Rhinolophus ferrumequinum: one gene and its partners. The main gene of each other region encodes a partner of the protein of the gene in region 3 in a complex. Links are inferred from orthologs where the notes say so. Each region holds a gene or a part of one and is shown on either strand. Other genes may lie near its edges.

Region 1 (7,703 bases), on a different chromosome or scaffold from region 3:
CTGACCCGGAAAGCTGAGGACCAGAGGCCCTCGCAGGAGCCAGGGCTTCGCCAGCGGGCGGGCAGCAGGGTGCAAGGTGAGGGCCTCTGGGGAGCAGCGTTTCCTCTGGGCTCTGTCGGGGCGGGGGACATATGGCCCGGCACTCTGACTCCAGTATCGCTTAACTCTCCTGTCTTCTGAATGTTTTAAATGAGAAGTAGGATGCAGGCAACAGGGCATGGGGTTTCAACCTCCAGTGTGTGAGTCTGGGCACCTCTCCCTACCTCAGTTTCCCCAACTCCCAAACCAAGGGAGGTTGAGTTTGTTCTAGTTCATTGGCTCAAAAGTAGAGAGAGTTATTCAGAGGCTGTGTCTGTGCTGAGAGAATATCTGGGAAACGTCCCAAGAGACCCAAATGCTCCACAAAATGGACGTCCACCGAACCTGACACATGCGTGGTGGGAGGGTGGCTTTGACAATGGGTAGAGTGGAGAGGTGAAGCTCACTGCCTGCTTGGCAGCTTCCATGAAGCCTTCTTGGCTCTTGGTGCCACTCTGACCCCCTGCCTTGTGGCTTTTCCACATGTGCCAGGACCATGTGGACCCCTCTATTGGTGGGATTGTGCCTCAGAGTGTTGGAATGTGGCCAGTCCTGGTAGGACAGGTTACCTGGTGGGGTGAGGCGTAGTTGCCCTAACCAGTTCTCAAAGTGTGGTCCCCGGGAGGGCATGGTCTCACAAGGTGGGCTGGCTGAAAAGTGAGGACTAGACAGCTTGGAGAAATAGTAAGTTCCCTGTCCTTGGAGGTATTCAAGCAGTGGCTAGAGGGCTACCTGTTTGTGCTGTAGTAGAATCCTGGCATTGAGTGGGACTGTACTAGAGACTGCTGAGGCCCTTGTGCTGTGTTTTTCTGTGACATCAGACATCCCACCTCTGTGCATCTGTGTGGTTGACACTGACCCCTTTCTCTTTCAGATGCTACTCCCATCGAGACACCCAGAGGGAAGTCCCAGCTCAGTATCCTCTCCCGGGCACCACTAGTACGATGGGTCCTCACACTCAGTTTTCTGGTGGCAACGGTTGCCATGGGGCTTTATGCCATGTGAATACACACGTACACACGTGTTGGCTCCTGGGGCCATGAACTCTGTCCAGCGGAGGACCCTCTTTCTAGAGGGAAAATCTCAGCTGGCTTCCTTCCCTTGGGCATGGGGGGCTGTCAGCACCCCCACCCTCCTTCCCTCTCTGGAAAGGAAGAAGGAGACTTAAGTGTCTTCCCAACCAAAAGTACATCCAGCCAATGACCTGACCTTCCAGAGAGGGATGAGGGGTCCTTGCCCAGCCCTCAGAACACTCCCCTCCCCTACTCCTGCAGCAGAGCCCAGAAGTAGCAGCCAGAAGTAGCAGCTGTCCTGAACCTCCAAAGGCCCTGGGGTCACAGTCTCCTTGTTGACTTGCCATGAACGCTTTCCTCATGGGCCATGGCAATTTTCATATAAATGTGCAAAGATGTTGTGTCTTGTGTTTGTCTTGTTTTTGTTGGAGCCACTTTTTGTTCCCAGCTCAGCCTGAACTGGGGTGGCATTTTGTTGTGTTCTGTTTTTTTTTTTTATAGCAGGGTAAGGGTGGTTGGGTGGGGAGAGAGGTGTTTTTAACAGCACTGTGGCCTTGGTCCCTAACTTTTATGTGAAATAATAAACTATATTGCCTGATATAACTTGAAGTGTTTTTCTTGGGCTGTTACCTTGGGGAACTGACCTTTTCCTCACTTGCTTCTTGGATGTCTGGTGGGGAGAAAGGGTGCAGGAGCCTGTCTTAGATGTTGTGTTCTGTTCTGAGAATGGGGGCTGAGCTTTAAGTAGTTGGTGGGTGTATCTTTGTGGTGAACCCTGCTTGACGCAAGACTCACCTTTACAGAGGATAGCTTTGCCTTGTTAGGCTGAAATGAGCAGATTCTGGGATAAAATTTGAGTCTTGTCCAGTGAATCTTAGAGACTAGCGAGAGATCCCTGGGTTCAAGACCCTGCCACTCCACTTTGTCACTCTGCCTACAGAGGGGTCAGTTACTAACCCCTCTTGGGGCTCAGTGGTGTCACCTGTAACATGAACACAGTGAGACCTACCTCACCTGCCTGTGAAGCAAATGAGATGCATGTAAAATGCCAGCATTGTACACTTGCCCCTATTATGAAAACGAGGGAGATCGGGGTTTTGTGATTCTTGCTAAGTGGTTCTTGTACTGGCAGTCACCTCACCTATGCCATCTCATTTAATCCTCACAGTGAGTCTGTGTGACGAGCGGCACCACCCTGAGGGGCAGGAAGGATTTACCCCAGGTCTGTTCAGCTCTGTGACCCAAGCCTTTCCCTTAACTCATGAAAGCCATCAGCTTATTTAAAATGCAGAATCCCAATCCGAGACAGTGAAAGCCCCTCGCTGAAGGTGTATTTAGGAGCGCAGGGGACAAGGCCTTTCCTTAGACAACTAGTAGGTGAGGACTGGGAGTCAGGACGTCCTTTGTCCCTGGTTCTGGTTTTGTCACTACGTCTGGAAACTTGGACAAGTCACTTCAAGTCTCCTTTATTCATTGACAAAATGAGAACAATACACCTACTCCAGTGGTGTCCTAGCACCAGTCAGTGGATGGTGGCATCATGATCACCCAGATATTCCTGGGCCCCACTGGAGAGGTTCTGATTCTGGAAACCTGGGGCTAGATTCTGGAACCCTGTGTATAACAGGCTCCCCGGGAGATTGCGAAGGGCAGCCAAGCAACAGGAGCCACTGTTTATGAGATGGTGCATGCAAATCGTAGTCATTCAAACAGCAACTACAGCTCTGCCCACCTTGGGCCCAGTGTGGGGACAGAGCCCCAAAAATCAGTTTCCAGGCTCTCGGCCTCACATAGAAAGGTGCTGGCTCAGGTAGTAAATGGCCATCGACTGTGAGCAAATGGCCAGCAGCTGTGGCTAGTTGGCCGTCAGCTGTAACCAGTGAGCCATTAGCCATGAATATAACTGCCGTGGCTAGGCTAGCAGGAAAAAAGGGGGAGCTAGCAAGAAGATGGTGGCTGAGCCTGCAAGCAGTGCAGTGAGGGTTGAGAATTGTGTTGCTCCTGGTTCCTGTGTCTCCAACCCAGCCGCCAGCGAGAGTATAGTGGTGTGACTCCCCTGCCTATGGCTCCGTGGATGTTCCTTTTTGGCCTAGCCATACCCTGCGTTCTTATGTGGGGGGCGGGAGCAGAGACCCCGCCTGGATCCCCTGCACTACACATGGCGCAACGAGCAGGGTCCCCTGCACGACACCAGTTTCCAGTTTTCTGTGAAAGGGGCATGATATTCATGGTGGTGATGGAGGGCGGGTGGGAGGCGGGAGAGAAAGCATCTTGATTCTACTCTCAGGAAAATGGTAATAGTTTGCCTTCTATTCATACTATGGAAAATTAAATCACTGTTAGATAGAATGAAATGTTTCCCGTCAGAGGGACTTCCGTGCAGTATTAAGCAGAAAAGCGTTTCCGATTTATTTGGTATTTTTATACACTGTGAAAAGACACATTTCAAACATGCCTTGCAAACATGTTTGAGTGACCGTGGCGGACAATACAAAGTTCTTTCCAGGTCCTTGAGGGGAGGTGGGTAGAAATGAAGAAAAGTATGCCGTCCTTGTTGCTGCTTGAGAACGCGACGAGTTTGGCCAAATACTCCCATTTTTCAAGCTCAGTTGGGAACCCGGTCGTGAATTTTCGCCAAGGTTAAGCATTTCCAAATAATTTAAAATCGACAGTTAAAACAAAAATTCTCCTTTAGGTCTAAGAAAACATCCTTGAGTCCTAAGTTTGGGACGATTTTGTTCCCAGAGGCGTTAAGGAGACCAGAGGTGACTTGTGCCTGATCAATCTCCCAATCTTAGAAGAGTCTGTTATTGTGAGAACACGGAGCAGGGGTGCAGGTGGCCGCGCCCCCGCCCCCGCCCCCGCCCGCTGGACGGCAGCGGGCTCGCACCCCGCAAGCGTGTACTTCGTAGGGACGTATAGCTTCTGAACCCTTGGTTCTTTCACCCCGTGGCTCTGAAAGGAGTTATTTTTCTCAAGAGATTTTAGAAAGCCTCGAGAAGAGTACACAAGCGTCCTCAGCACGCCCGCACTGTCCCTCGGCCCGAAAACCCACCCCTCCACCATCTTTACGCCAGGCCCCACCCCTCCCCTTCCCGTCATAAATTTCGCGCCAAATTGCCCGCCACACAAAATGGAGCCCGGAAGGAGACCAGGAGTCCTGACATCATGAGCCCCTCAGCCAATCCGCTTCGGCTACTGGCCTTGGAGGCGGGGCTTGAGGGCGCAGAGCGGTCCAATCAATGGCCGCGGGGCCTCGGCTAACCAATTGGGGCACAGCAGCCGCAGCGTCCGAACGCGGCCTCTCGTTTTTCCCGCGAAACTCGGCGGAGAGTGTCGGGGTGCCTGTCTCTCCGAGTCCGTGGAGTGGCGGAAAGGAGAGGTGAGGCCGGTGGAACTGGGGAGTGGGGACCCGGGAGCCCGCCCCACGGGGGGTCGGTAGGCTATGGATGGGGGCGCAATAAGGGTGGGTAGGGGTATCCCCTGGGAGAACTGGGGTCAGGGTCCCCCACCCCTGAGTCGAGACACACCCGCCTCGCGTTCGGAGCGAGGGACCCAGGCATCGGTCGCCGCGCGCTGCCCCCACTCTGCTCCAGCTCTTTTTCTCCGCCAGGTGCAGGCATGTCAGGCTTCGACGACCTCGGCATTTTCTACAGCGACAGCTTCGGGGGTGACAACGCGACCGATGAGGGGCAGGCCCGCAAATCGCAGCTGCAGAGGCGCTTCAAGGAGTTCCTGCGGCAGTACCGCGTGGGCACCGACCGCACCGGCTTCACCTTCAAATACAGGTGCGAGCCGGAGCGGGGGCGGAGGGGAGCTGGGCAGTCTCCACGGAGAACCTTGCAGTGTCATAGACAGTCCAGACACGGATGGGGAAACAGGACGAGAGGAGGAGGAGCCTGTCGCGGGTCTGCGGGTTTTGGTCCAGCAGTGCGTCATCAGGCACTCCCCTCCCCCCCACAAACCTATGGCCTATGGTTTCCTGTGTTTTATACCTGGAGTTAACTTTTGAGCCAGTCTTCTGCTGAATGGGCCTCCGCCAACCCAGCTGGAGCTACGTGGGCCCTTTGGTTCGTTGTCCATTTCTTGTTCCTGTTTGTCTGCTGTTTCTGTCCTTATACATACTGTCAGAGATACTTTCTTGACCCTAGTTGTCTCTGGGTACAGTAGGTGAAGTGGGAGTTATGATTCACTTCACTCATTCATTCGTTCATTCCTCTCTTGGAACCACTATTGATTGAGTGCCTGCTGCATGCCAGGCACTGTTCCAGGTGCTACAGCACTGAACGATCTGGGCTAGGTCCCTGCTTCTAGTCATTGTGCAACCTGTGACATCATGCCACATCATTGTAGGCCCTTCAAACATGCGTTTGCAGGTCCAGGCTCGGGTGACAGTCTCTCTGGGCCTCAGTTTCTTCGTCAGTAAAATGGGCATAGCCATTTCTGCTTCCATTTATTCACGCACAAGCTAACATTGATCACCCATGTGCCAGACACTGCTAGACACTGAGATAACAGACGCAAAAACATTCGTACTACTTGCCTTCGAGAGCTCAGTGGGAGCGATGCATAAATTAGGAAGTGATAGTCACCTCAAGGGAGGAATGTAAAAGAGGAGTTGGGGAAGACTTCCAGAGGAGCCAAAGTTCTGGGTGACCCTTGAGCCGAGAGAAGAGTCGTGGTGTGGGAGGCATTCCACATGGCAGTTGCATGGGCAGAGGTATGGGGTGGCCTGTTGTAGCAAGGGGCTCTCTGGGCCAGACAGGCTGCTTTATGTGGCTCCCACGCATAAGGTAGAAGAGGATGAGGCCTGAGGTGAGGCTTGGGAGCCGGCTCTGCGTAGGTCCGTGGTCCCCAAATGTGTTTGGTACAGTCGTGCTGTGGAATGCTCTGAAAAGAATCTGTGATGGTTGACAAGATACAATGTCTACTCTCGTGTGCCTCCCCAGTTCTGGGGCGTGTGCCTCCCCAGTTCTGGGGCGTGTGCCTCCCCAGTTCTGGGGCGTGTGCCTTGTTAGTTTCCCAAGAGAGTCCTGCAATGGAAGCACTGATTTGCAGTGAGAGTCTCCCCAACTGACCTGTGCGTGGAACCTCGTCTTTGAGGGTTGAAATATCCTTCCACGGAGCTTTCTTTGGAGGCTGCCTCTGCTGGCAGTAGGGACCTGTTGCGTCCAGCGCAACACGGGCACTGAGGGTGCGAGAAGGGGTGGCTTTGGGTTAAGTTTTTAAGAAAGAAACATACAGAGACTTAATGCAGTTAAATCTCAGAAGGCCAGGGGTCTCACAGTTCTGAAAGACTGGAGCCCAGATATGAGCCGACTGGAGGTTTTTATTGATAAGTATACAAGGGAGTAGCAGTGTTTTTGGCACGGTCTGTGGGACTCACCACGTTATAGAAACAACCCAAACCAATTATGTTGATCTTCAAACAGCCGAAGCAGAAAGTCCTTGAGGTGAGGTATGCAACTCTTTTAAGGGACATATATCACATGTCGAAATTGTTTCACAGAGCTGAGCAGAGACAGCTTAATCTTATCACTCTCAAGACTTTTCTCCCAATTAGGTGAGAGGGGAAGCCAGAGTCAGCAGCGACTTTTCCCAGGCAGGGGGAAGGGGAGACAAGGCCCCTTCCCAAATCTTTCTAAGGCAGCTCATTGGGGGTCTCCATGGGGTTCCGCCTGGCTTGAGTTGTCCCCGCCGTGGGGAATCTTACTCGTCATTGGCCGCAAACCCTCTTTTGGAGACTAAATAGAGAGAAATATACAGTCCCAGAGATACACAGTCTCACAGACTCTTCTTTCCTTAAGGAAAGACATGGGGTGTGGGAGTCGGGGGCAGGCTGCTAGGCTGTTGTGTGACAACAGGGATCCTTTGCAGAACCCCCTGGAATTCTGTGTGCGTTTGGGGAGCGACGTGGTGAGCAGTGTTGGTGATGGTAAGGGCAGGTTCAGGGTGCAGGTGTACCTTAGCCAGTGTTGGTTGCTCTTTTCTGCCACCTGCCCCCTCCAGGGATGAGCTCAAGCGGCATTACAACCTGGGGGAGTACTGGATCGAGGTGGAGATGGAGGACCTGGCCAGCTTTGACGAGGACCTGGCTGATTTCTTGTACAAGCAGCCAGCCGAGCACTTGCAGCTGGTGAGTGGGACCCTGTCTCTGACCCCCCAGGGCTGGCCCTGCTCGTCACCAACGGCCTGTCCCCTTCCTTCTCTCTAGCTGGAGGAAGCTGCCAAGGAGGTGGCTGACGAGGTGACCCGGCCCCGGCCCATCGGTGAGGAGGTGCTCCAGGACATCCAGGTCATTCTCAAGTCAGACGCCAGCCCGTCCAGCATTCGTAGCCTGAAGGTGGGTTTGCTTAGAGGCCAGGAAGAGGGTGGCAGTGGCTGCTGCATGGCACAGAGGGGCTTTCGAGACAGGCAGACTTGGGTGCCAGCTGTGTGACCCTGAACAGCTCACTCGAGCCTGTTTCCTCTTCGGTAAAATTAACTCATTGGACAAATGTTTACTGAGCTCCTCCTGTGCTCAAGGCATTGAATTGGATCCTGGAGAAAACGGTGAGCTGAACAACAAGCTTCTGTCCGCCCCGGGGAGTAAACCAGAAAACATCACCCGTG
Region 2 (7,577 bases), on a different chromosome or scaffold from region 3:
TATCAAAGGTACATGCCGTCACCATGGCTTATCACTGCTGATATTGACCTTGATCACCTGGCTCAGGTCTTGTTGGTCAGGTTTCTCCACTGTCACGTTACTCTTTTTCTGTTTCCATCCTGTTCTCTTTGGAAGAAAGTCTCTCTGGGCAGCCCACACTCAGGAGTGGGGACTTATTTGCTGCCACCTTGAGGGCAGGATATATATATATATATATGTATATATGTATGTATGTATGTATGTGTGTGTGTGTGTGTGTGTGTGTATATATATGTATATATACATTTGAATTCTTCTGCAGGGGAGATTTGTCCCTTTACCCCCATTTGTTTTATCTCCAACTCTTAATTCATTACTACATGGGGAATTCTAGCCTTTTAGCAGGGGTGTTTCTTTTTTTTTTTTTAATTGGGGAACAGTATGTTTTTCCAGGACCCATCAGCTCCGTGTCAAGTTGTTGTTTTCGATCTAGTTGTGGGGGGGTGCAGCTCAGCTCCAAGTCAAGGCGTTGTGTGTTTTTTTTCAATAGTTGTGGAGGGCACAGCTCACTGGCCCATGTGGGAATCGAACCGGTGACCTTGGTGTTATGAGCACTGCGCTCCAACCACTGAGCCAACCGGCCGCCCCAGAGGTGTTTCTTACAACAGGAAATAATGGTTGTGAGGGCTTCCCCTCCATCTCAAGTAGCACTCCACCTCCATCATTCCCAACTCCCCTCCTCCTTCCCCTTTAGTTTTCCTGTCTGTTTACTGTCTTGTTACCCCCACTTTGAGAGGCCAGGTGGAATCTGGGCATTTGGAAGTCCTCTCCGGATCCTGGTAGTCTGGATATGATTCCGTTTATTCTGGACAGAATCTGGAACCAGAGTTAGACTGGACTGGGGCAAATCACTTCCTTCCCCAGTTTTCCCAATTATAACAATCTCCTGGGGAGTGTGTTAAGTGTGTGGTTTCTGAGTCAGCAAGTCTGAGCCTGGAGCTTCGTGGAGGGCATTTTAAATAACAGCTTTATTGAGGAATAATTCACATATTATAAAATTCACCCTCTTAAAGTATACAATTCAGTGGTGTTTAGTATATTCAAGAGTATGCAACCACCACCACTATCTAATTCCAGAACTTTTCCCATCACCCCCAAACGAAACCCCGTACCCATTAACAGTCACTCCCCATTTCTCTCTCCCCTAGCCCCGGCAACAACTAATTTCCTTTCCGTCTGTACAGATTTACCTATTCCGGAGGCTCATATAAATGGAATCATACATGGTTTTGGTGACTGGCTTCTTTCATGTAGTATAATTGTCACGCAGGGTGTCACACGGGGTCTCTAGTCCTGCTCCCCACATAAGAACGCAGGATATGGTGAGGCCAAAAAGGAACACCCACGGAGCCATAGATAGGGGATTAATACTACTATAGTCTCACTGGTGGCTGGGTTGGAGACACAGGAGGCAGGAGCCATATGATCCGCAACCCGCCGTCCACTTGTCTCTGTCAACCAACCTCACTTGCTAGCTGCAATCCACCTCTCTGCAATCCATAATCCACATCCATCACGCCACGCCACGCCAGGACGCCACACCACCACGCCACACCACTGCACTACCATTTTGCTAGCTTAGCCACGGCCGTTATATCAGTGACTAATAGCTAACCGGTAACAGCCAATGGCCAACTAGTCACAGCTGATGACCATCTATTACCTGAGCCAGCACCTTTCCACGTGAGGCCGAGAGCCTGGGAACTGCTGTCTGGAGTTCTGGCCCCACAATAATGTTTTTCAGGTTCACCCACATTGTAGCAGGTATCAGTGCTTCATTCCTGTTTATGACCAAATAATATTTCATAGTATGTATAGATCACATTTTGTTTATCCACTTCTCAGCCGATGGACATTTGGGTCGTTTCCACCTTTTGGCTGTTGTGAGTTGTGCTGCTGTGAAGGGAAAGATATTTAACAAGTCCTCCAAGTGACCCTGATATACACTCCAGTTTGAGACTCTAAGATGCCACCATTTTGCAGTGTGTGTGATGCTGCACACTGTCTCCTCTTCCTCCCTGAACAGGGCAGTGAGGTCAGCAGCAGCACTGTCCCCATTTAACAGATAAGGACACCAGGACTCAGGTGACATGGACACGGGGCTCTGTTTCTCTCCTACTCACCCACTGTCCCTCTCAGAACCTCCGCTTTCCCACCAGCTCTTTTCCTTTGCTCTTTTGCAGGCTGCAAAAGCTGGGAGGGAAGCCTCGCCAACTTTGGAATACAAATATTTGCCAGGGAAGAAAACATTCTCCCATCAATCAAAACCCAGACAAGTTGGCACACACTCTTTGCAGATGCAAGGGAGCTTCTGCTTAGGAAGGGCCAGGTAGTCCGCAGCTTCCCCTCGTCTCTAAACACCCCAGCTCCTTCTTTTCCTACCTCTTTTGCAGATGAGGAGACCGAGGTTCAGAGTGGTCACTTGCCCTTGGTCACCACAGCATCCAGAGGGACTTTATTTTCTTTGAAAGTATTTGTCTTAATAAATGATACGCCATGAAGGTAATCTCCAGGTCTGCAAATGACAATTTGCAGGGCAGATAAACAACAGATATGCTTTCCATGCCATCTGAGTGGGCAGAATTTAATTATATTTTTTATTAGTTTCAGGTGTACAAAACAACAGTGATTAAATATTTATATACCTCACAAAATGGTAACTCCAATAAGTCTATTATTACCCATCTGACACTGTACACAGTTATTATATTATTGACTATGCTGTACTTTATATTCCTGTGACTATTTTTTTAAAATTATAGTTGACATTCAATATTATTTTATATTAATTTCAGGTGTACAGCATAGTGGTTAGACATTTATATAAATTACAAAGTGATCCCCTCATAAGTCTAATACTCATTTGACACTATACATAGCTTTTACAATATTATTGACTATATTTCTCATACTGTACTTTACATCCCCGTGACTCTTTTGTGACTATCAATTTGTACTTCTTAATCCCTTCACCTTTCTCACCCAGCCCTCCCGCCCCCTCCCATCTAGTAACCATCAGTTCTCTGTATCTATGAGTCTGTTTCTGTTTTGTTTAATTTGTTCTTTAGATTCCACATATAAGTGAGATCATATGGTATTTGTTTTTCCTCAGTCTGACTTATTTCACTTAGCATAATTCCCTCTAGGTACATCCATGTTGTCGCAAAAGCTTAATTATATTGTTATTTCATCTTCCCAACCCTACACGGGGCAGGTTTCAGGGGGGTTAGAGGGGAAAGAATGGGGTTATCTGGGGGAGGGGCAGCTTTCCTGCAGAGATACAGAAACCTGGAACCCTCCTGTCCCCTATGCTTTTTCTTAGGGCCTAATGAGCAGGGTTTCAAATTCAAGTCCAGTCCACTGCTTGTCCCCACCCGTCCTGCACAGGCTGCCCACCTCCAGGAAGCTTTCCTGGCCTGTAAGCACCCCATCCGAATCACCCTGGTCCTGGTTACAATTCAGCTTTCTGTCCCCACCCCAGACACCCAAATCATAATTTTCTAGGAGTGTGCATGTTACCACTCAGAATCTTTTAGGGGAGTCTGACACAGCAGGGAGACTGAGAACCACTGTTAGGTTTCACACAAGCCCACTGTATAGCGAGTACCTGTTCAACGAACAGATGAGCACATCAATGCGTATTTGCTGCAGTCTGCAAACTTGCCCCTTCGTAAGCCTCACCTGGGGTGCTTGCCAACATACAAATTCTGAGCCTTTCCCCAGAAGTTTCTGAATCGGAAGGTGTGGGTGGTGTGGAGCAATCCACATTTTAATAGATTTTTAACCAATGAGTATAGAGAAAGCAGAAGATTTTGAAATGAAAAGCAACAACGCCTTCCCTCAATCCCTTGGGAGTGAAGCTGTGTCTGTCTAGCCAGGTAATGCTGTGACCGAATAAATGCATTTATTCCTGGCCCAGGAGTAAGGGGCATAGACTCGGTGTAGGCGGGTAGGCACCCAGGGCGGTGAAGAGACAAAGAAACGTAGTGCCAGATGCTGGAGGGGAAGCGGCACGAAGTGCTTGGCCCACAGATGAGGGCGGGGCCCGCTGCTGTCCCCGAAGGGGCGGGGCCGGGCTGCGGGGGCGGGTCAGTGCCCAGACTCGTTCAAGCTCGCCAATCCGTGGGCTCGTAGCAGCCACGCTCACCGCCTCCGGCCGCCGCGCAGAGAGCGCCGCGTTGCTATAGGCCGGCTGAGGGTTCTTCCGGCCGGGGGACGGGCTCCGCGTGGTGGCGGGAAAGAGGCCGCCGCGGCACCTCCCGGGGGACCCTCGGGCCGGGGACGGCGGCGACTCTTGGGCCGCCCGCCTGCGCCGTTATGGACGCGGCCGAGGTGGAGTTTCTGGCCGAGAAGGAGTTAGTGACCATTATCCCCAACTTCAGTCTGGACAAGATCTACCTCATCGGGGTAAGGGTGCGGGCCCGGCATTTGCCTCGGGCCGGGGCGGTGGGCCGCCCGTCTCGGTCCCCAAGTCTAGGATGGGAAGCTGGGTGGCGGACTCGGTGTGCCCAGACCTCGGGGGACAGCCTGGAGGGGGCGAGGTTCCGAGCCGGGGGCCGTGTGTGTGTGTGTGTGTGTGGCGGGGGCGGCGGTAGCCTGCGCCTCCTACGTGTTCTCCGACGGCCTCCCCACAGCACCTCGGGGAACACGACTCACGTGGGCTGCCAGGTGTGGCCTGCCCCACCGCGCGAGTGCACATGTGGGGCTGCCTTCCAGGGCTTGTATTTGGACTGCGATTATACATTGCCCGTTCTCCTATTTGACAGCAGCAAGGTCCAGTGATGCCTTTGGCTCTGCTTTGTCTTACGTGGGTTTGTTTTTCCTGTGGCAGGGGGACCTGGGGCCCTTTAATCCTGGCTTACCAGTGGAAGTGCCTCTGTGGCTGGCCATTAACCTGAAACAAAGACAGAAGTGTCGGTTGCTTCCTCCCGAGTGGATGGATGTGGGTAAGAACGTGGGTGGAGTCCCGGGAGCCTCCATGATGCACGGATCCGCTGAAATTAAGGGTTCCAGATTCCCTTCGAGCCAACGGACCACTATTACTGGTGTTAATTTGGGGCGTGTATTTCCATTTTAGTTCAGATTTTGTTTTTTAAGCTAGTTCAACTTGCTTTAAAAGTATGATGTGACCTTACGCATTTTGTTTCCATTTTTAAAAAGTCTATAGGCCAACATGTTGAGGAGTAGTGTCATAGCCTACATGACGGAGACTGTGCGAAAGGAATGCGTTCTCCATACAAGGGAATATTATTCAGCCATACAAAGGAATGCTACCGTGTGGATTAACCTTGAAAACCTTATGCTAAGTGAAAAAAAAAAAGAAAAACAGACAGAAAGACCATACATTGTATTACTCCATTTATATGAACTGCCCAGAATGGGCAAATCCACAGAGACAAAGTAAATTAGTGGTTGTCTAGGGATGGGGGTGATGGAGGGATTGTGGGGGGTCCTTTCTGGGGCGATGAAAATGTTGCGCAACTCTGAATATACTAAAAACCACGGAATACTTTAAAAGGGTGAATTGTATGGTATGTTTATGTCTCAGTAAAGCTGTTAGAGCGAAAATGAAAAGTCATCAAAGACGCAGGCAGACTTTACCCTGTCTACCCTTTGTAGTCTTCTCCCCACCTCAGAGATGTGAATGGCTCATTATGGCACAGAATCTTAATTTGGGGGGGAAGTAATGGGCCGTGTACAATTTGAAAAGCCCTGATTTTGATTGTCCCCTCCCCATTGGGAATCACCGGGGGATGCCTGCCTCCTAGAAGCAAGGACACTTTCAGCCGGCACTCTCAAGTGCAGTTTAAGAAAGGCCTCGTGGGCATTTCCTCCTTGCTCCCTGTCCTAACGCGGTGAATGGCCCTGGTGGTCTTGACACATAATGGGAAACAATTCCTTCTGCTTTGAAGGGGTTTTTAGTCCCTCCAGGCCTGGCTGTATGAAAGCTGCATCCCCACAAGGCCCCTCGTTAAGATCAGCTTCTGGCAGTTTTGGTCCAACTGATATGGAGCAAGAACCTGCCTCACTGCAGGCCAGAGTCAGAGAGGTGTGGAGAGGGTTAGCCTCAGTTTCTTCATAGGCCTGGGCCATACTGTGGTGAGAAGTAGTGAGACCTCCCTGGTGACCCTACCCAAGGACCAGCCAGCCGCCTTCTGGTTCTGCCACCGTCCATGGGTTCTACCTTGTCTTGGACTTCATGTAAATGGAATCATCTAGTCTGTCAATTTTGGTCTCTCTCTTTATTCAACGTGATGTTTTTGCGATTCACCCCTCTTGTTGCATGTGTCGTTACGTTCTTTTAATGCTGAGTAGCGCCCCACTGTATGAGCATTCCACAATTTGTTCACCCATTCTTCCGTTGGTGGATAGTTGGGTGATTCCCCACTGTCGGCTATTGTGAATAAGGTGATGAACTTTCTTGTTCACGTATTTTTGTGGATATGTCTTTATTTCTCTTGCGTAAATAAATACCTAGAGTGGTGGAATTGCAGGGTCATAGGGCAGACTGCACTTCACTTTGTAAGAAACCGCCAACCAGTCCTCCAGAGTGGTGGAGCCGTTACTGTAATCCCACCAGAAATGTCCGAGAGATCCCAGTGTTCCGTATCCTGGCCAACATTGGGTGTTGTTAGTCTTTTGACTCATTGCAGGGTTTGAGCAGAGAGGTTTCGTTCTCTGATTTAGATGTTAAAAAAGAAGCGTCAGTCTGCTGTGCAGAGCAGATGTGTGTGGGGGAGGGCAGCAGAGTTCCCCAGGCAAGAATTGACTATGACTCAGTCAGCTGATGGAGGTGGGCAGTCCTGGTTGGAGTCTAGGCATATTTTGAAGGACGAAGAATCGGTAGGATTTGCTGCGGAACTGGCCACGTGGTGTGAGAGAGAAGAGTTAAGGATGAACTCCAGGGTGGTTGGCTTGAGCTCCAGAAGGAGATGGAGTTGCCTTTTCCGGAGAGGGAGACGACTGCAGGAGCAGTTTGTGGGCTGGGGTGGGCACCCAGAGTGGAGGTTTGATCGTGTTACACTGGAGGTGCCTGTTAGATAGCCACGTGGAAACAGTGTGGGCAGTGGGGTATTTGAGTCAGGAATTCAGGGCGAGGGCTGATCTGGAGATGTAAATTTGGAAGTCATCATAAGCACAGAGGTGGTATTTAAATGAGGCAGGACGAGATCACGTGGGGTGTGGGTTAAGGTAGTGGAGAGGGGTCAGGGACCTGAGCTCTGTACCCCAGCGTTGAGGAGTCAGGAGGGCCAGGAGAAATCAGAGAGAACTCGGAGAGAGTGGTGTTGTAGAAGCTACGCGATAAATACCCTCCAAGGAGGAGGATTGACCCACGTCGGACATGGAGACTGAGACGGAGCCGTTGGGTTTGGCCAAGCGGAAGTCATGCGTGTTGGTGGAGGGGTGGGATAGACACCCATCTGAGTGGTTGAGGAGAGGAAGTAAATGCCAGTGTCAGACGATTCTTGAAGTTAAATTGTAAAGGGCCTGAGAAATGGATTGGTGGCTGGAGAAGATTTGGTGTCGGGAGGGTGTTC
Region 3 (8,225 bases):
GCCCCTTCCACAGTGTGAGGTTACAGTGAAAAGACAGCCACCCAGGAAGTGGGCCTCACCAGACCCTGACTCCGTCAGCGCCATGATCTTGCACATCCAGCTTCCAAAACTGGGAGAAATAAATTTCTGTTGTTTATAAATCACCTAATCGCTAGCATTTTGTTATAGCAGCCCGAATGGATGAAGACAGGTGCCTATCCCAACCATTTAAATGTCCCGAACCCCAACACTCTCTGTTACCCAATTTTATTTTATCACCACCTGACAAAGAATTGTTACGTGTTTATTATCTATCTCCCTCCACAGGGTGTGTATTTCCCATCAACTGCTTTGTTTTTAGCACCTACACAGGACCTGGTAGTAGACACTCAAATATCACTAGATGCTCAAGAAATATTTGTTGAATGAAGAAATAAATGTGTGCATGAATGACAGGCACTGCGATCAATTTGGAGGATACCTTCGGGGAATTCATAATCTAATGGGAGAAACAGACACGTTAAAACTGCAATATAGCGTGATAAACGTTATATCAGAATAGTATAAGGTATACTGGTGACCTAAATAAGGGGTAGTATGTTAAGGATGGTTTCACAGAGGAAGAGTTACCTTGGCTGAGTCTTGAAGGATGAATAGGAGTTCATCAGGTGGTTCAATGGAAAGAGAGAAGCCTAGGAAGAGGGAACAGCATGTGCAAAGAAAGGAGACAAAACACCTCGTGTCCTAAAGTAGTTTGACACGACTGGAGCAGATAGTGTAAGGGAGGAAGCCCGAAACTACAAGAAAATCAGCAGCACTGTTTTCAGAGAGTGACTGAAATCACCCCAGCACCTGATGTCCTCCCTACTTCTCTTAAGGGAATTTACTCCATCCTCCAACAGCCTTCTTCAGTGCAGCTGTCTAAGCCTGAGGACAATGAGGTACTAGCTTACAGGTGCTCTGTTTACTCTCTGCCAAGGAAAATCTCAAGAGTGTAAAATAATAACACTGGAATGAGAGAATATCATCTTACTCTTTGCTCGAGGAGGCAGCCGCCTTTGGCAGGTATCGGTGCCTCTGCTTCCCTATTGACAAAGTTGAGGCAAAGAGGGGAGACGGCATCTACAAGTCTTTGTCCAGGCTCGGGAAGCTTTGGTTAGAGCAGAGTTTGAAGTCAGGGGTCTGGGTCAGCTTTCTTTTCAGAAGATATGAGGACCCCTCCATAGCAAACTGACTCTTTTTTGTTATTCTCAAGGCTGATACTGCAGTCATGAGAAGAAAGCATCCTCCTATTAACCACGAGAAGACAAAATACAGAGGTGGAGGTCAGGTTTATGTGTCTGTGCCAGAAACTAGGAACATATTAAGACCAAACTTAGGGAAGGAGAGTCACACTATGTTCCTATAAAGGAGCAGGTAGAGAAAATAGAGAACATGGTACCAAAGATTTGGACAGACGTTTTCTAGTTAAACAATATTACAAAGCTACATAATTCACCTTTACCTGTAAACTCTCTTGAAACGATGATCTCAAACCTTAGATTTGTAAAGTTTGTATCTTTATGGGGGACATTTATGGGTTAATTAAACGTGCTTGAAATAAAGATGGGCTTTGAGTAAGGGATGAGCAGCTAAAGTCTGAAAGGAAAAAAGGAATGAGGACTATCAGGAGTTGCCCAGATATTGCATTTGTCAGAGAGACCCAAACCTGGCCCTGACCTCTTGAGTTTCGCAGCATCTCAGGCACACGAGCAGTATAGCGTTTTACCACTGGCCAGAAAAATACTTGCAATTTCACCAGACAATAGCTTTTCTTGTGAGGCCAAAGAAAATATTCATAGAGTACTTTTCTGCCTTCCTTAAAAAATCCAAGTTGCCCTCTTAGTTTCCTATCTTTAGTCCAAATTTTCATTCCTTCAGAACAACTTGGGGTTAAACTTTGCTTAAGTACTACACTCCCCAAAGCTTAATTCTTTGGTTCTTAGGATAGTGAAACCAAAAATGTGATGAAAGTCAAAGAAAGGAAACAGTGAGAAACAGCTGTTGACCAAATGAGCAAGGGCAGTGATGATATGAAAACAATAATGATGATATTATCTTGTATTTCAAAAGTATCTTTCTGTAAAAAGACTCACAATATCATATGGATATGTATACTTTATCTTTATCCTTGGTGATTGAAAAAAAATACGTTCATTCTTATTATTGTATATTTCCATAGCTATCCACAAATATTTTGGCTGTTTCTATTTGCTGCATCTTTAACGGAAATAAATTTCTTCATTGAGAATTATCTGGAAATTACATTGACTTTTCACCTTCTTCAATTGCATAGGGTCCTATTTTATGTATCCTCTTCAACTTTGGGCAGAAGCCTTTTCTTTTTGCTATGTTTGTAGCTTCATGTTTTGCTTGTTTGAATTCATGTTAGCATGTTCATTTTGCTCGTTTAATCATCATAACTTGCCTACAAATTCTGTCCTACAGTTTTATTTATCACCATCAAACTTCATCTTCCTATCATAACCTATGTAATTCTCTTTTCTATGTGATTATTTTAATGAATGGCCATTTATATCGCCATGTAATTATTTTCTAAAACTTCTTAACAGTGAGTGCACAACAACCAGGTCTTCTGGATTTTTCTCTTCATTCTACATAATGTAACTTATGACCTGTCTTTTCTCCCACCTTCCTGAACTTTACAGTGCCACTTGACCAACAGTTTCACAAAAAGTTTGAGCTGCCTCCCCCAGGTAGCTCTATATATTGTTTTTGGACATTGCCTTAAATTCTCCTTCCTTACCTAGCAGAAATCCTTCTCTGCAAACTCATTTTACTCTCAAGTGGTTTTGTCTGATGAATGTTAGTTGGAATCAATGATCTTAGAAGTGAAAGAAGACCACCATCCCCAATTTTTGACCTGCAGGAAGGTACATATTGTTCTCACTTAATAGGCAGTGCAACTGAAGCCCAGACAAGTGACTTGTGTCAGGCAGCACCTCTATTAAATAAGGAAGCAGAAGCTAGACTCCACCTCCCCAAGAAAGTTGCAGTGGGAGATTGGAGAAGACAGCACCAAAGAAAGGAAGTTTGAGTAAGTAAACTAAGTAACTGGTACTTGTGTGGAGTAGTTATTGGTGCTTAGATTCAAATCTACAACACTTAAAGAATCTTAATAAAGACCATTGAAAAGCTAGATAGTAATGAGAATTACAGAACGGGACTGTGCTCAAATACTAATGTTCCAATCATCTAATGCTGCATAACAAAGCATCCCAAAACTTAGGGGCTTAAAACAACAATATTTTACCGACCTGCAATCTGGGTAGAGTTCTGCAGGGACAGCTCCCTCCATGTTAGCTGGGATTGCTGAAAGTCTGAGAGCTAGAATCATCTGAAGGTGCATTCAACTCAGACATCTGAAAGACAGAACAGTTGGGGCTGCTGGGGCTCCTTGAACATCACTTTCTATCTCTGTGTGACCTTTCCACATGGACCCTTCAGCATGGCAGCTACAGGCTAGCCAGACTTCTTACATATCAGCTCATTGCTTCCAAAGGGTGTAGCTCAAGAAAGAGAGCCAGGCTGAAGCTGCACCACCTTTCATGACTTAGCTCCAAAAGTCACACAGCATCACTTCTGCCACCTTCTCTTGGTAGAGGCAGTTACCAAGATCTTCCCAGATTAAAGAGGCAAAAACATAGACCCCACCTCTCGATGTAGGAGTGTCAACGCCATATTGTAAGAAGAGTACTGGGGTGAGATCTTTATAAGAGTAGCTATCTTTGGAAAATACAATCTGCCACAACTAAAAACCGTTGGATTACCAAATCACTGAAATGCAGAGCTGAAAGAAATAGACCTTAAAAGACCATCTATTTGTCATTAACAAAACTCATTTTGCAAGGCACAACTCAAATGTTTCTTCCTTTTGGAGTCCATCTTTGATGTCCTCCAGCTTCCATAGCCCTTTGCAAATATGCCCACTCTCTCACTCAGTTATATTCTATTGTAATTATTTTTATACCATGATTGCAATCAGGCAGGTACTATCAACCTATCATTTAGCCAAACTTTTTTTTCTAATCAAACAATATGGCATAGGAAACACCGCAAAGAAAAGAGTCTTCAGACTAATAGGGAAAACACATTTCGAGGAGAGTCAGAGGTGACACTTTCTCCAGAAAACAGACAGCAGAGAGAAAAGCATCAGCAATTAAGAGAAGAAAAACTGACATCACACAAAGAAAAAGATAAAGATAGTATATAGTTTTGCCCTACATTAAAGTAGAGACGGCATAAAGAGTAAATGTCAAAATAACCTAGACTCAAGTAGCTGAGATGGAAGCATTGCCTAAAGCAGTGGTTCTCCAACCTCATCTGTTTCAGACTCACCTGGAGAGTCTGTTTAACCACCTCCCATAGTTTCTGATTCAGCAGGTCTGGGTGGGGCCTGAAAATCCGCATTGCTCACGAGTTCCAAGACAACCTTGATGCTGGTGATCTGGTACTACACTTTAAGAACCACTAGCCTAAAAGTTTTTAGACGTGGAAGTAGTAGCATAACTGAAGCGCCGGCAAAGATGAAGGAACCAGAAGGGCCCAAGATTGGTGGGTGAAGATGACCCAGCACACTAAGTGACCTGATTTTAACAGAGGCCATTTCTCTGTTGTCCCCCCTACGGGACAGGGCATACTCGGGTGATGATGCTCCCCGATGGCCGGAAGACAGACACGGCCTCGTCCCCTCAGCCGCGGTAGCGTGGCGCCCCCTCCCGACCGTCCCTCGGGGATGTTAGCCGGGACCGCACACAAGCGCGGCTAGCCGAGGTGGGCGGAGCTAACTCGGACCAGCCTCCCGCCGCGTCTTAAGGAGGGAAAACACCCGGCAGTGCCTCGAGTCCCCGCCCCCTGGGGGGGGCCACCAGGACACCGGGTCGTGATTGGTCAGTGCCGCTCGTGCGCGGTGACGTTTAGCTAGGTGGAACGTTTCTAAGAGGAGCGCGGGAGCTGAGAAGTGAAGGGTTGATTACGTCCGGGAGAGAAAATTGCCCCCAGGTTCTCCTTGGGAGAGTGGTGCTGCTCCCCCCACGAGCTTCCCGTCCTAATCTCCTGCTACTTTGGGGTGCCTCTCTGCCTCCTAGGTGACCAGGTGAGCATCCGAGTGTGACCTTTGATAGTGTGTATGTGTGTGCGCGTGCGCTGTGTGTGTGTGTGTGTGTGTGTTAGAGGAGGTGGTTACCCAGACTCGTGGCACCGAGAGAGGAGAGGAGGGAGAGGAATATGCTCTGTTTCCCTGAGGCTCCGGGGACGACTTCTCGTCCCTGCCACCCATCTTCTTAGGGCTTTGGGATCGCTGTCTAGTCTGATGTTGCTGGGCCTTGCAACACTGATTGGTTCTCCCAACAATTTTAAGTGCCTGCTATGAGTTAAGCACTGTGCTAAGCGCAGGGACTACACAGGCAATTACCGTGTGTCCCGGAAAATAAGACCGAGCCGGACCATCAGTTCTAATGTGTCTTTTGGAGCAAAAATTAATATAAGACCCGGTCTTATATTACATATTATATTATACCGGGTCTTATATTAAAATAAGACCAGGTCTTATATTAATATTTGCTGCAAAAGACGCAGTAGAGCTGATGATCCGGCTAGGTCTTATTTTCAGGAAACATGGTATGTCCCCAGTTCTTACAAGTGCCAGGCACAGAGTAATTCATCTTTAAACTGAAGTGAACAAGGACCCTGAGGAGAGGATCTCTACCAGAAAGACGAATAATTATTGCATGGTGTGACAGGTGCTCAGTTAGAGTTGTGCCTGGAAGCACAAGAGGTGAGAACTGATAACCTAACCTAAGGTTTGAAGGAGGCAAAGAATTGAAAATATCAAAGCCTATGAATTCTCTAGCCACTGCCAATGAGCCTTTACAACCTGTTGTAGTATGTAGTTGCCTATTCTTGCAAATAAATGGAAAACATATAGAAAGGTATGGGTTCTTTTATTCTTAATAGGTTCCCAGTTTCAGGTAAGATGACAGAGGAACTGGATCTCACGGCACAGGACTCTGATGCGGGCAGTGAAGAAGTGGTCCTAACTCCTGCAGAGCTCATTGAAAAGCTGGAGCAGGTAAGAGTCCCAAATAGAATCCCCTTGCGCCAATCTTAGCCTTTTTATTTAGTCCAACTGTGCAAATGTCGGGAATCAGGAAACGATGAAATGGGATTCAAGGCTTATTTCAAGAGAAGAGTGACTGGGTCTTACCATCTGCCCAGAAATAAGAAGTGGGGGGAACAGTCTTTGTTAGAGAACTCATGTCAAACACAAACTTCTCCAGTGGGGCCAGTAAGGGACAGCTTTGGATACATTGAGTAGAACAGTTCACAGAGCAAAGATTTGCTACTTGGTAGTTTCATGGACTACAGAAGTGTTGTAGTGGAGACTTGTAAATTTTATGCCTTAGTCCCTTGAAACACCTGCTGTTTACTTATAGAATGCTTGGGTTAGCAAGAAAGAGCTGAAACACCTTTTTTAGGATTAAACTGGTCTTACTCTTCCTTTTCCTCCCAGGTACTTTCTTTTGTCAACTATTCTCTATATTTCCATTGCTTATCTAAAATCATTTCTAGGCTGTCTCTCTTTTTAGTCATAAGAGCTATGGTTTGAGTATTTCCTGTGTGCTAATAACTGTTATTTACAATTAACTGTGAAGCTCTGGTAGTTAGTTCAGACTCTGTATTTAAACCCCTCCATGCCACTAGTCTGTTATGCAACCTTAGGCAAGTTATATAGCTTGTCTCAAGCACTTTCTTGACTATAAAATGAAGTTAATAATAGTGGCTACCTCATAGAGTTGTGAGGATTAAGTGAGATTTTATATATATATATATATATATATATATATATATATATAAAGTGCTTAGCATATTGTTTGACATGACAAGCACTCACTGAATGTTAGCTGTGAGTAGTAATAATCCTTACAACAACCCAGTGAGGCAAGTATTATTGTTATCTACATTTTACAGATGAGGAAACTGAAGCTTAGAGATATAAAGTAACATGCCCAAGGTCACACAATGGCAGCAGAGCTGGGATATGAACCAGGTTTCTTTGACTCCAAAACTCATGCTCTTAATCCACTACACATTACTGCCTTATTCTTGTTGTCTCCCCTTTTTATCCCCCACTTTTTCTCGCCTCCCCCCCCCACTCCAGTTCAAGCCGTTGTTTCTCAGTCTAGTTGTGTAGGACACAGCTCCCTGCCCACGCTGATATTAATGAGCCTTGCACTCCCCCGGCTGAGGCTGTCGGTTGCTGGTTGTCTGTCGGCTGCTCATGGCCCACAGCAGCCCACGGCTGCTCACGCTGGCCACTGGCCACTCCTGGCAGCACAGGGCAGCACGCAGCAGCCCTGCCCACGGCAGCCCAGCTCCAGGGAGAGCCGTTGTTCACAATCTTAGCTGTAGAGGGCGCAGCTCACTGGCCCATGTGGGAATCGAACTGGCAACTTCGGCATTAGGAGCACGGCGCTCCAACCACCTGAGCCACTGGGCCGGCCCCTTGTTGTCTCCCTTTAACTGCCCCTTTCCAGAATTCTCTCATGTTTGTTACTTTAGTGTTCTTCATTCTTTTCTAACGTACACGCCATCAAGACTAACAAAATCAAAGGAACAACCCATATAGAATTTTACATCTAATTTCAGGAGTTTCACAGACACCCTGAAATCTGCCTACCTAGTCTGGGGACCCTAGTTTAAGAGCCCCTGCTTTATTAGGAGAGGGTTTATTAAATGGAAATCAAAAAGCATAAAGCATGAAGGACAAAACTGATATATTCAACTACATTAAAATTAAGAACTCTGTTTTTACATCTTCCTGAGAATAAAAAGACGTGCCACAGAACTGGGGGAAAATATTTGCAAAATATATAACTGGCAAAAGATTAGTATACATAATACACAAACTTTATAAATTGACCAGGAGAAAAATGAAAGTCTTAATAGGAATCTCCCAAAAGTGGAAACCAGGATGGCCCATCACCATATCAAAATAACATCCAACCTTTTTGCTAATCAGGAAACTGAAAATTTAAATCGCAATGAGATAGCACTGCATACCCACCCATCAGATTGGCAGAAATGGAAAAGATGAACAATATAAAGTATTGGCAAGGACGTAGAGATGGAGAGCATGTATACTGTGGGGGGCATGTAATTGGTTCAGTCACTTTAGAAAATAATTT
Region 4 (7,481 bases), on a different chromosome or scaffold from region 3:
CATCAAATATGGACAAGATCAAGTTCTTGTGCTCAGGCTGCTCCAACTCCTGCAGAGGAGGTGGATACATGCCTTACTAAGGACACCAGGTGCAATGTCCGTGGCATAAAAGGCACAGACAGATCATTGGGAGAATTCAAGGGAGGCATGGGCCCCAAAGGCCTAGTTACCTGGGTATCATTGTATACATTCACGACATTGACTGGCCTATGGGTGTCACACACAAAAAATACGGCATCTTCATCGGGTTGAAGGATATCCAATAGGTCTATGTTAGCTCCACAGTTTATGAGGATAAAATAATGGAACTGAAAAAGGAAGAGAGATATTGTGAAGTAAGTGCATCAAGGAGGCCCCTTTACTTTCAGCACACTAGATCTGAGTCCTGCTGGTGAGATCAAACCCGACACTTGGCAAGGCCCTGAGGGTAGGGGCTCCAATATGGCCATAAATGCCCTGTGCTTAGTGCTTTAACATACTCCATATACTACTTCATTTCCATGACAACACCATGAGGTAGGCCCGGTGGCTGCCCTTACTTCACTGAGGAGCACGCAGGGGCTCAGAACGTGAGAGTCTCATGCACAGAATCAAGAAGCTGATGAGGAGCAGACCAAGACTTCAAATGAATAACTGGGCCTCTCCAGACATCAATCACACTATTGTGACGAACTGTCTCTCCACGCTAATAGCATTCCAGTTTTAAAATTTTAGCAAACCTTGGATAGCCCATTCTTAATGGACACCTAAATATTAAGTCTTTTATTACATCCCATCACTATAGAAAACCATTTCCTTATAAATACAGAACTGGCAGAGGTCCCTCCCATGATAACAGGAGCTCCAGGCAAAGGTTTACCTCTGCCAGACAGTCCTAGATATGGCCAGACTCCAGGGACCCTCTTCCATACTCCAGCCCCTCAATCTATCACATTATATCCGGTACTGACTTTATTCTACCTTCTTCATCCTCTTCTCATCAACCAACAAGAGTGGCCAGAACATCTTTCCTTTTCTTATTCATGAATAATTTTGTCTATATGTAGGCCTTTTGGGGTTTGAGATTCTTCCTCAAGTGGGCTTGTCAAAAAACTTCTCAGCAAACCTAATTCTTAAACAGGATTTTGTGAAAACAGTTTTTTCTAACTGGTTACGTTTTTAGGTTCTTATAACTTGATATATTCTTTCTTTATCTTAGTACCATCCAGGAGCACTCAATGTAAAAGAACAAAGTTACTGAAACAGAATAGAGGTGAGACCCAGAAACAAGATTACTTGGAAAAAACTTACTGAAACAATAATTCATATTTTAAATGCTTTATGATTTTTAAAATGCTTTTCTCCCTATGTGTAGTAGAATTAACACTAACTATGCAGAGAGGATAGCGTGTGTGTATAGAAATGAGATTGTATGTGGGGTCTAAATGTACCAACTCTCATGGCCGCATGTAGAGGTGGGAGGAATCCTGGCAACCACTGTTTAAAATTACAAAGGGAGAAAATATTTTCCTGGATTCCACGTTGGAAACTGGGATACGTTTTCTTGGAGAAATAACGTAAAATTGTAGTCTAATCTAAAATAATTTTAACTAAGCCATATCTAAAAATAACTGCTAAATTCCAAGCACCTTACAATGAAATGTCTGCCACACAAGTTCAAGGTTAGAGGCTGTCCATATTCACTATCTTTTTTTGTTGTTGACTTGAGGGTAAGTCCAGACATAACAGCTCATTTTTCTCTTTGGTATTGCCTAATATAGTTGGTGCTTAAATAAGAAATTGCAATTGAGTAAAAAAAGCCTAATTATTCAAAAATACATCTCACATACTTGTTCTTTATGTTCAAGAAATGCGGTTTCAAGTTCTTGCCACCCAGAAACTGGAACCAGCGTATACTGCACGTGGTCACACTGGAACAGGGCCTGGAGAGAGATTATTTTCAAAGCCTATCACATTTAGAATGTCTAATTTACTTTGAAATGCACTATAAACAAATAAGATGGGTTATCAGACAAATGACAGATAATAAACTAAGGGTAGTAAACTGTTAATGGGAGGAACTAGGTGATGGGGATATGAGTATTCACTGTACTATTATGCAAACTTTGTCGAATTTTTGAAAATGCCAAAGAAAAACATTCGGAGAAAAGCTGATCTGATTTCTGGAATTTTCTGAGAAGTAATTCCAGAAGCAAGGGTGTAACCAAAGCTCATGTAAACATCCATCACACCATATTCTAAACCGAACCAATGATCTTCTGTAATAGACTAAGGGATCCTGTATTTCCAGCATTGCTTATGGCACCACTATGCCCTGTTTTCACAGATTCCTCTATCTCAAATCCCACATTTGAGAAGCCACTACAAGTCTATCGGTCTCTCTAATGCAGCCAACTTTTTACCTAGGTTATTGCAAAAATACTAACTAGTATTCTTGACTGTGCCTCGTCCTTTTCTAACCCACCCAATACTGTACTGCCAGAAAGGCGACCTCTCAAGAGTCTTCCCCAGCTTTCAGTTGTTGTTGCTCCAGACCTTACCCAGCCTGAGCTCTCACCCAGGAAGGGGTTCCTTACCCTGCTTCTCACCTCCCGCACAGTTCCCTACCCGACCCTGTTCCCTCCGGACCTTGTACGTACCACCTCCCGCCCACGTCTACCCTGCACCCTCACCTCTCGCCAGGCCCCACCCTGCCAGAGTCCTCAGTGCTCACCTGAAGGATCTTGCAAGCGCACAGAGAGTCCACGTCCGAAGCCACGAAGAGAAGGACCCTCTGTTGGGGGAAGACAGGGCGAACTGAGCTCAGCGCCTCGAACCCGGGTCCCTCCCGCCCTCCCACGGCCGCTCCCCCTCATCCCTTCCCCGTGACAAGGCCTCGAGGTCCAAGAAACGGGGTCACCTGGTTCTGGACCACTTCGTAGAACTCTTTGCGGAAATCGGACACAAACATGACCACGGCGGCCAAACACCCAGAGCTCGCGCTGAGACACCCAGGCCCCGGCGGAGGTCAAGACTCCCGCCAAATCAGGGCTCTTCCGATTGGCCCACGAGCCAATCAATAGGTACCTAGTTCCCATCCTTTCCTCTTTTATGATTGGTTCATATTGCGGCGACAGTAGCCTTCCGCCATTTACGGCTGGAAAATTCTGGCCCGGCCCAAAAGAGCGTCATCACCAGGCAGGACGGAAACACGTTTGCACAACACAACGCTAACTCCCATTTACCCAGAAACTCCAGGCTCGGTGGACATCTTTAGTTTGGGCAGAGAAGCCTATAACCCCCCCGACTGGAACCCCAGGCAAAAGAAACCACCTCACCTTAAACTAAACTTATTTATGCATCGAACGAAAGCGTCGGTTTACGATTTCAATAGGCTCTCAGTCTAGTTCGAAAGCAGATGAATGACATACTTCCGCCCGAGTCCTCGATGGCTGACGCAAAGGCCGGAAGATCTACGTGCATTCTGGGTAGTGTAGTCAGTAAGGAGAATGGGCCCAACTAAATTCATCTAGAGGAGGGTACTGTCAAAACGTAATTTAAAATAATTTTTTAAATTACTCCAGAGTGGACAACAATTTGGAAAAGGTACTTTATTGTTGATTTCGGGGAAACTTTAAGCCCTGGCGCCTTTGCCTGGCTTTTTCTCTTTTGCAGCCGAGCCCTGTCCTCGGCACCTCCCCCCTGGTCTAAAGTCTGGCACTTCCGGTGAGCCTCCCGGGGCATCCGAGGGGAGGCGGCGGCGGCAGCTGTGAGAAGAGCAAGTTGGTGGACTCCGGTCGTAACGTTCCTTAGACGAGGCAGCATCTGGGAGGCTCAGGTGCCATCATGGTGAGCGCGGCCGGACGGGCTGGGCACTGAGGCTGGGGTCGGGGGCCGAGATTGGGGTCCAGCGGGGCGGACTTAACGGCTGTGGAGATGCCGAGTCACCCCGGCCTGAGCCCGGCCCATCTGCCCGTCCCGGGCGCGGCGAACAAGACCCAGACCCTTGACTACGAACAGCCTCTACTCTTCTCCCTAGTTGGGGACTTGGTTCGCATTTCCTCTCAGTTGGACTTGAGCTCCTTCCATGTTTCAGTCCACCGAGGGGTCTCGCAAGTATTAAACACATAACAGGTTTCCATAAACACCAAATTAATTGGAAGGTTATTGCAGAATCAGGGGCTTTCTAGGAAAAATGCATGGGGGAACATCCAGTACCTCCTGGTCATGCATGGGTGGTGATCATGCCTTCTGCTACTTAAGCGATTCAGTAAAGATAAATCGTAGCTAGTATTTGCTGGCGCTTTTTCTGTTACACAATTTTTCATTAACATCTACCGTCCCTCATTACACTTTATCCCATTTAATCCCTACAGTGCCCTTGGAGGCAAGGATGATTCTTATTGTTTTAACCATGAGAAAACTATGATTTAAAGAGGTAGTTTCTGAAAGTTTGAAGCCAAATCTGGCTGCAAAGATCAGTCTCATTACCACTGTAATCATTGCCTGTGTTACCTGTTTATTTCAGTAAAAACAAGGAATGATTATTAGATTTTATCCTGTGTGTTAGTTTCGAATCATATTTCTGTTCTCAAGTTTATCCACTTAACGGATTTGAATACCTGCTATGTGGTAGGCAATATGCTGGGCATGGGGATTATAAAAGTAAAGTAGGAGGGGGGTAAGTAAAGTAAAATGGGTGGGGAGCAGTAGGGAGGGGCAGAAAGGTTCCGCGGTGTTTTGAAGGCAGAGTGGTGTAGGTGTTAAATACTTTGCACATTTTTCTTTCATGTTGCAAACAGGAGTGGCTTAGATGGGAGGTAGTGAGAGGCACTTAGGGGAGGCGGGACTCCTCCCCTGTCCTTCATCCAGAAACACTTTCATTTGTTATACTTCTGGCCAAGATTTTGTTGAGGAGTTCTGCTGGTTAAAAGAAGAGAGACAAAGGTTTGAAAGCTACTGTACTACAATAGAACACAAAGTGAAGAACCATTTGAGATTTTAAGCAGGAGCATGCTGTATTTGCATTTTAGGAAGAAGGCTGATTCTGCTTGTGGAATTAATTGTGGAATTGCTAGTAAACTACTTTATCGGTAGATGGCTTTCCCTCTACTTAATGTCTATTTGGAATCAAGTCAAGAAATATTTGTCTATTGTGAGATTTTTAAAAAACTTGTGGTGCAAAACACATAATATAAATTTATTATCTTAACCATTTTTAAGTTCACATTATTGTATAATGGGTCTCCAGAACTTTTTCATCTAACAAAACTGAAACTCTGTACCCATTAAACAACTCTATTTCCTCCTCCCAGCGTCTGGCAACCAACATTCTATCTACTTTTTGTCTCTTGAATTTGACTACTCTAGGGACCTCATATAAGTGGAATCCTATAGTCTTTGTCTTTTTGTGATTGGTTTATTTCACTTAGCATAGTCTTCTCAAGCTTCAAGACGTGTCAGAATTTCCTTTTCAGGGCTAAACAATATTCTTTTGTATGTATACACCACATTTTCTTTATTCATCCATCAGTGGATATTTGGATTGTTTCCACCACTTGGCTATTGTGAATAGCACTTCTGTGAACATGAGTGTACAAATATTGAGCCCTGCTTTCAATTCTTTTGGAATATACCCTATTGTGCGATTATATATATATACAGATTTTTGAAACATCATAATAATTGCAATACTTTGACCCCAGATTGCTGGGTAACATGTTTTCTAAGCCTCATTGTAATCCACAGTTTTAAGAGCTAGCATCTTACCTTCTTGATAGCTTTATTTATCAATGGAAGTGTGGAGTTCCACCGTGTGGCACAATGTGAGAGCACATTGCAGGGGTACCAGCCCTGACCCTGAGCAGAGCAGCAAAGGTTCCTGGAGAAAGGATAGTCATGGAAGCCAGGAAAAGGGGTGCAAACACCAGGCGCCTGCTCTTCCCACTGCCTGGAACACTGTTCCTTGTTTTCTACTTGGCTCCCGATCGTGGCATTCAGGTCTCTGCAGAGAGTCCCTTCCTGACCACCCACTTACACTAGAATTCCCAGGAGCTCTCTGTCCCTTAACCTCTCGTCCTCAGAATGTTTATCACTGCCTCACGTGCGTCGTTTGTTTGTTTCTTTTGTCTTGGGAATGGCAGAATATGAACTCTGCCGGGGCTGAGGTTGTACTTGTTTTGTTAGTGAACAGACTTCACTGGAATGGTGTTTCCCTAGTTCTTAGATCAGAGACTGGCAGACAGATTTTTTTTTAATTAAGAGGAGAAAGAGGAAAAGTGTACCAGGCAGGGGAACCAGCCCAGGGTTGGGGGCGGGTGGCATGTGTAGGATATTGTGGGGCCGTCGGTAACCACTCCCTGAGGTATGTGAGGTCTGGTCTGGATTGCAAGGGTGGGAGTGGGGGCACTGAAAAAGATTAAGAACAGGCGTGACTGCCTAGTTATTTCAGTAAGGTTGCACCACCTAAAAATGGAGACTAGATCAGGCTTGGCAGAAAGAATGGAAACAGATTTGAGATTTACCGTGATACTGGGAAGTGCTTCAGGCAGACCACTCTGGTCCATCAGGATTTCGGTGCATCTTGTTCTTTGAGGGTGTTTAGCAGCATTAACCACCCTGACCTGTTTTGGCTTTTGACAAGAAGAAATGTACCTTTATTTTGTTCTAACTCTGGCATCTCTTTCCTCCTTCTAGTTCTCTTTCAACATGTTTGACCACCCAATTCCTCGGGTCTTCCAGAACCGCTTCTCCACGCAGTACCGCTGCTTCTCCGTGTCCATGCTCGCAGGGCCTAATGACAGGTCAGATGTGGAGAAAGGCGGGAAGAGTATGTGCTTGTTTTTATTTTGAATAGTAACCTTTCCTGCCCTCAGCCTGCAGTGCTTATAGTCTTAAACAGTCCTTATTTTACATGTGTAACAGAAGCTCCTTAGAGTCAAAATGTTGCTTGCTCCAGATATGCGGGGTTCAAATTATGATTAGATTTATGGCTAGTAGCCATTCAGTTCCCCAAAATAAATGACAGCAAAGAAAGTTCTTTATGAAAGATTATTACGAAATTCTGGCTTCCGTACAAGTATTGTTTAATACTTTTTAGAGATAGAACAGAAACTGCATTTTGGCTTTTGTTCTGTCCTTTTAATTTTTATATTCTTAGTATTTCTTAAATATTTTCTCCACAGTAATTATGCCACCCTCAGCCCTCGATCAACTCAGTAAGTATTTTCTTTCTACATCACTTGAGAACTGAGGTAATGTCAATATGGAGGCCACGTCTGGTCGGGAATTGTCCCTGGAGGATGTCTGCTGGGTTGGGAGAACTGGGACCACATATGCCCTGCTGAGGTCGTGGCCTGTGGCGGCCAGCTGTCCAGGCTCGGGGCCAGTGAGTATTCACCTCCAGGTCTCTCCTCTGTGAAGGGGATCTCCCCTGAATACCCATCCCACTCCCTCCACTCCCATCTCGGATCCTGTCAGGAGTAAGGAAGGTTCAAGCACCA

Evidence for each region.
Region 1: GINS4 (region 3) and MCM5 share a complex: the UniProt entries of both Homo sapiens proteins name them as parts of the CMG helicase complex. The link is inferred for Rhinolophus ferrumequinum from reciprocal best matches to the Homo sapiens genes GINS4 and MCM5.
Region 2: the proteins of GINS4 (region 3) and GINS2 are in contact, whole or in part, in a crystal structure (PDB 2E9X), measured with the Homo sapiens proteins. The link is inferred for Rhinolophus ferrumequinum from reciprocal best matches to the Homo sapiens genes GINS4 and GINS2. Residues at the interface, in NP_115712.1 of Homo sapiens: Pro23, Ala24, Ile27, Glu28, Glu31, Trp34, Met35, Lys38, Phe39, Gln57, Met61, Leu73, Lys74, Ser76, Ile77, His78, Met80, Glu81, Arg84, Ile85, Tyr87, Val88, Ser91, Asp166, Asp168, Ser169, Tyr170, Val171, Phe172, Val184; in NP_057179.1 of Homo sapiens: Met1, Glu5, Phe8, Leu9, Glu11, Lys12, Phe21, Leu23, Asp24, Lys25, Ile26, Tyr27, Leu28, Ile29, Gly30, Trp47, Leu48, Asn51, Leu52, Arg55, Lys57, Phe135, Gln139, Glu140, Ala141, His142, Ala143, Lys144, Leu145, Asp146.
Region 4: GINS4 (region 3) and CDC45 share a complex: the UniProt entries of both Homo sapiens proteins name them as parts of the CMG helicase complex. The link is inferred for Rhinolophus ferrumequinum from reciprocal best matches to the Homo sapiens genes GINS4 and CDC45.

What each region holds. Positions count from the first base shown.
Region 1 is NC_046293.1:10,964,886-10,972,588, reverse strand, and holds the start of MCM5 (DNA replication licensing factor MCM5), read left to right. Parts: upstream 1-4,404; 5' UTR 4,405-4,473; intron 4,474-4,704; 5' UTR 4,705-4,712; coding exon 4,713-4,879; intron 4,880-7,100; coding exon 7,101-7,227; intron 7,228-7,305; coding exon 7,306-7,434; intron 7,435-7,703. Other genes in the region: HMOX1 (heme oxygenase 1), read left to right, coding at 1-76, 953-1,083. UniProt on the Homo sapiens protein: Acts as a component of the MCM2-7 complex (MCM complex) which is the replicative helicase essential for 'once per cell cycle' DNA replication initiation and elongation in eukaryotic cells.
Region 2 is NC_046298.1:30,856,405-30,863,981, reverse strand, and holds the start of GINS2 (DNA replication complex GINS protein PSF2), read left to right. Parts: upstream 1-4,237; 5' UTR 4,238-4,356; coding exon 4,357-4,446; intron 4,447-4,870; coding exon 4,871-4,985; intron 4,986-7,577. UniProt on the Homo sapiens protein: Required for correct functioning of the GINS complex, a complex that plays an essential role in the initiation of DNA replication, and progression of DNA replication forks.
Region 3 is NC_046287.1:58,829,926-58,838,150, reverse strand, and holds the start of GINS4 (DNA replication complex GINS protein SLD5), read left to right. Parts: upstream 1-4,984; 5' UTR 4,985-5,134; intron 5,135-5,994; 5' UTR 5,995-6,013; coding exon 6,014-6,109; intron 6,110-8,225. UniProt on the Homo sapiens protein: Required for correct functioning of the GINS complex, a complex that plays an essential role in the initiation of DNA replication, and progression of DNA replication forks.
Region 4 is NC_046308.1:24,080,738-24,088,218, reverse strand, and holds the start of CDC45 (cell division control protein 45 homolog), read right to left. Parts: upstream 3,050-7,481; 5' UTR 2,951-3,049; coding exon 2,900-2,950; intron 2,774-2,899; coding exon 2,714-2,773; intron 1,923-2,713; coding exon 1,830-1,922; intron 309-1,829; coding exon 171-308; intron 1-170. Other genes in the region: UFD1 (ubiquitin recognition factor in ER-associated degradation protein 1), read left to right, coding at 3,826-3,828, 6,676-6,808, 7,164-7,196. UniProt on the Homo sapiens protein: Required for initiation of chromosomal DNA replication. Core component of CDC45-MCM-GINS (CMG) helicase, the molecular machine that unwinds template DNA during replication, and around which the replisome is built.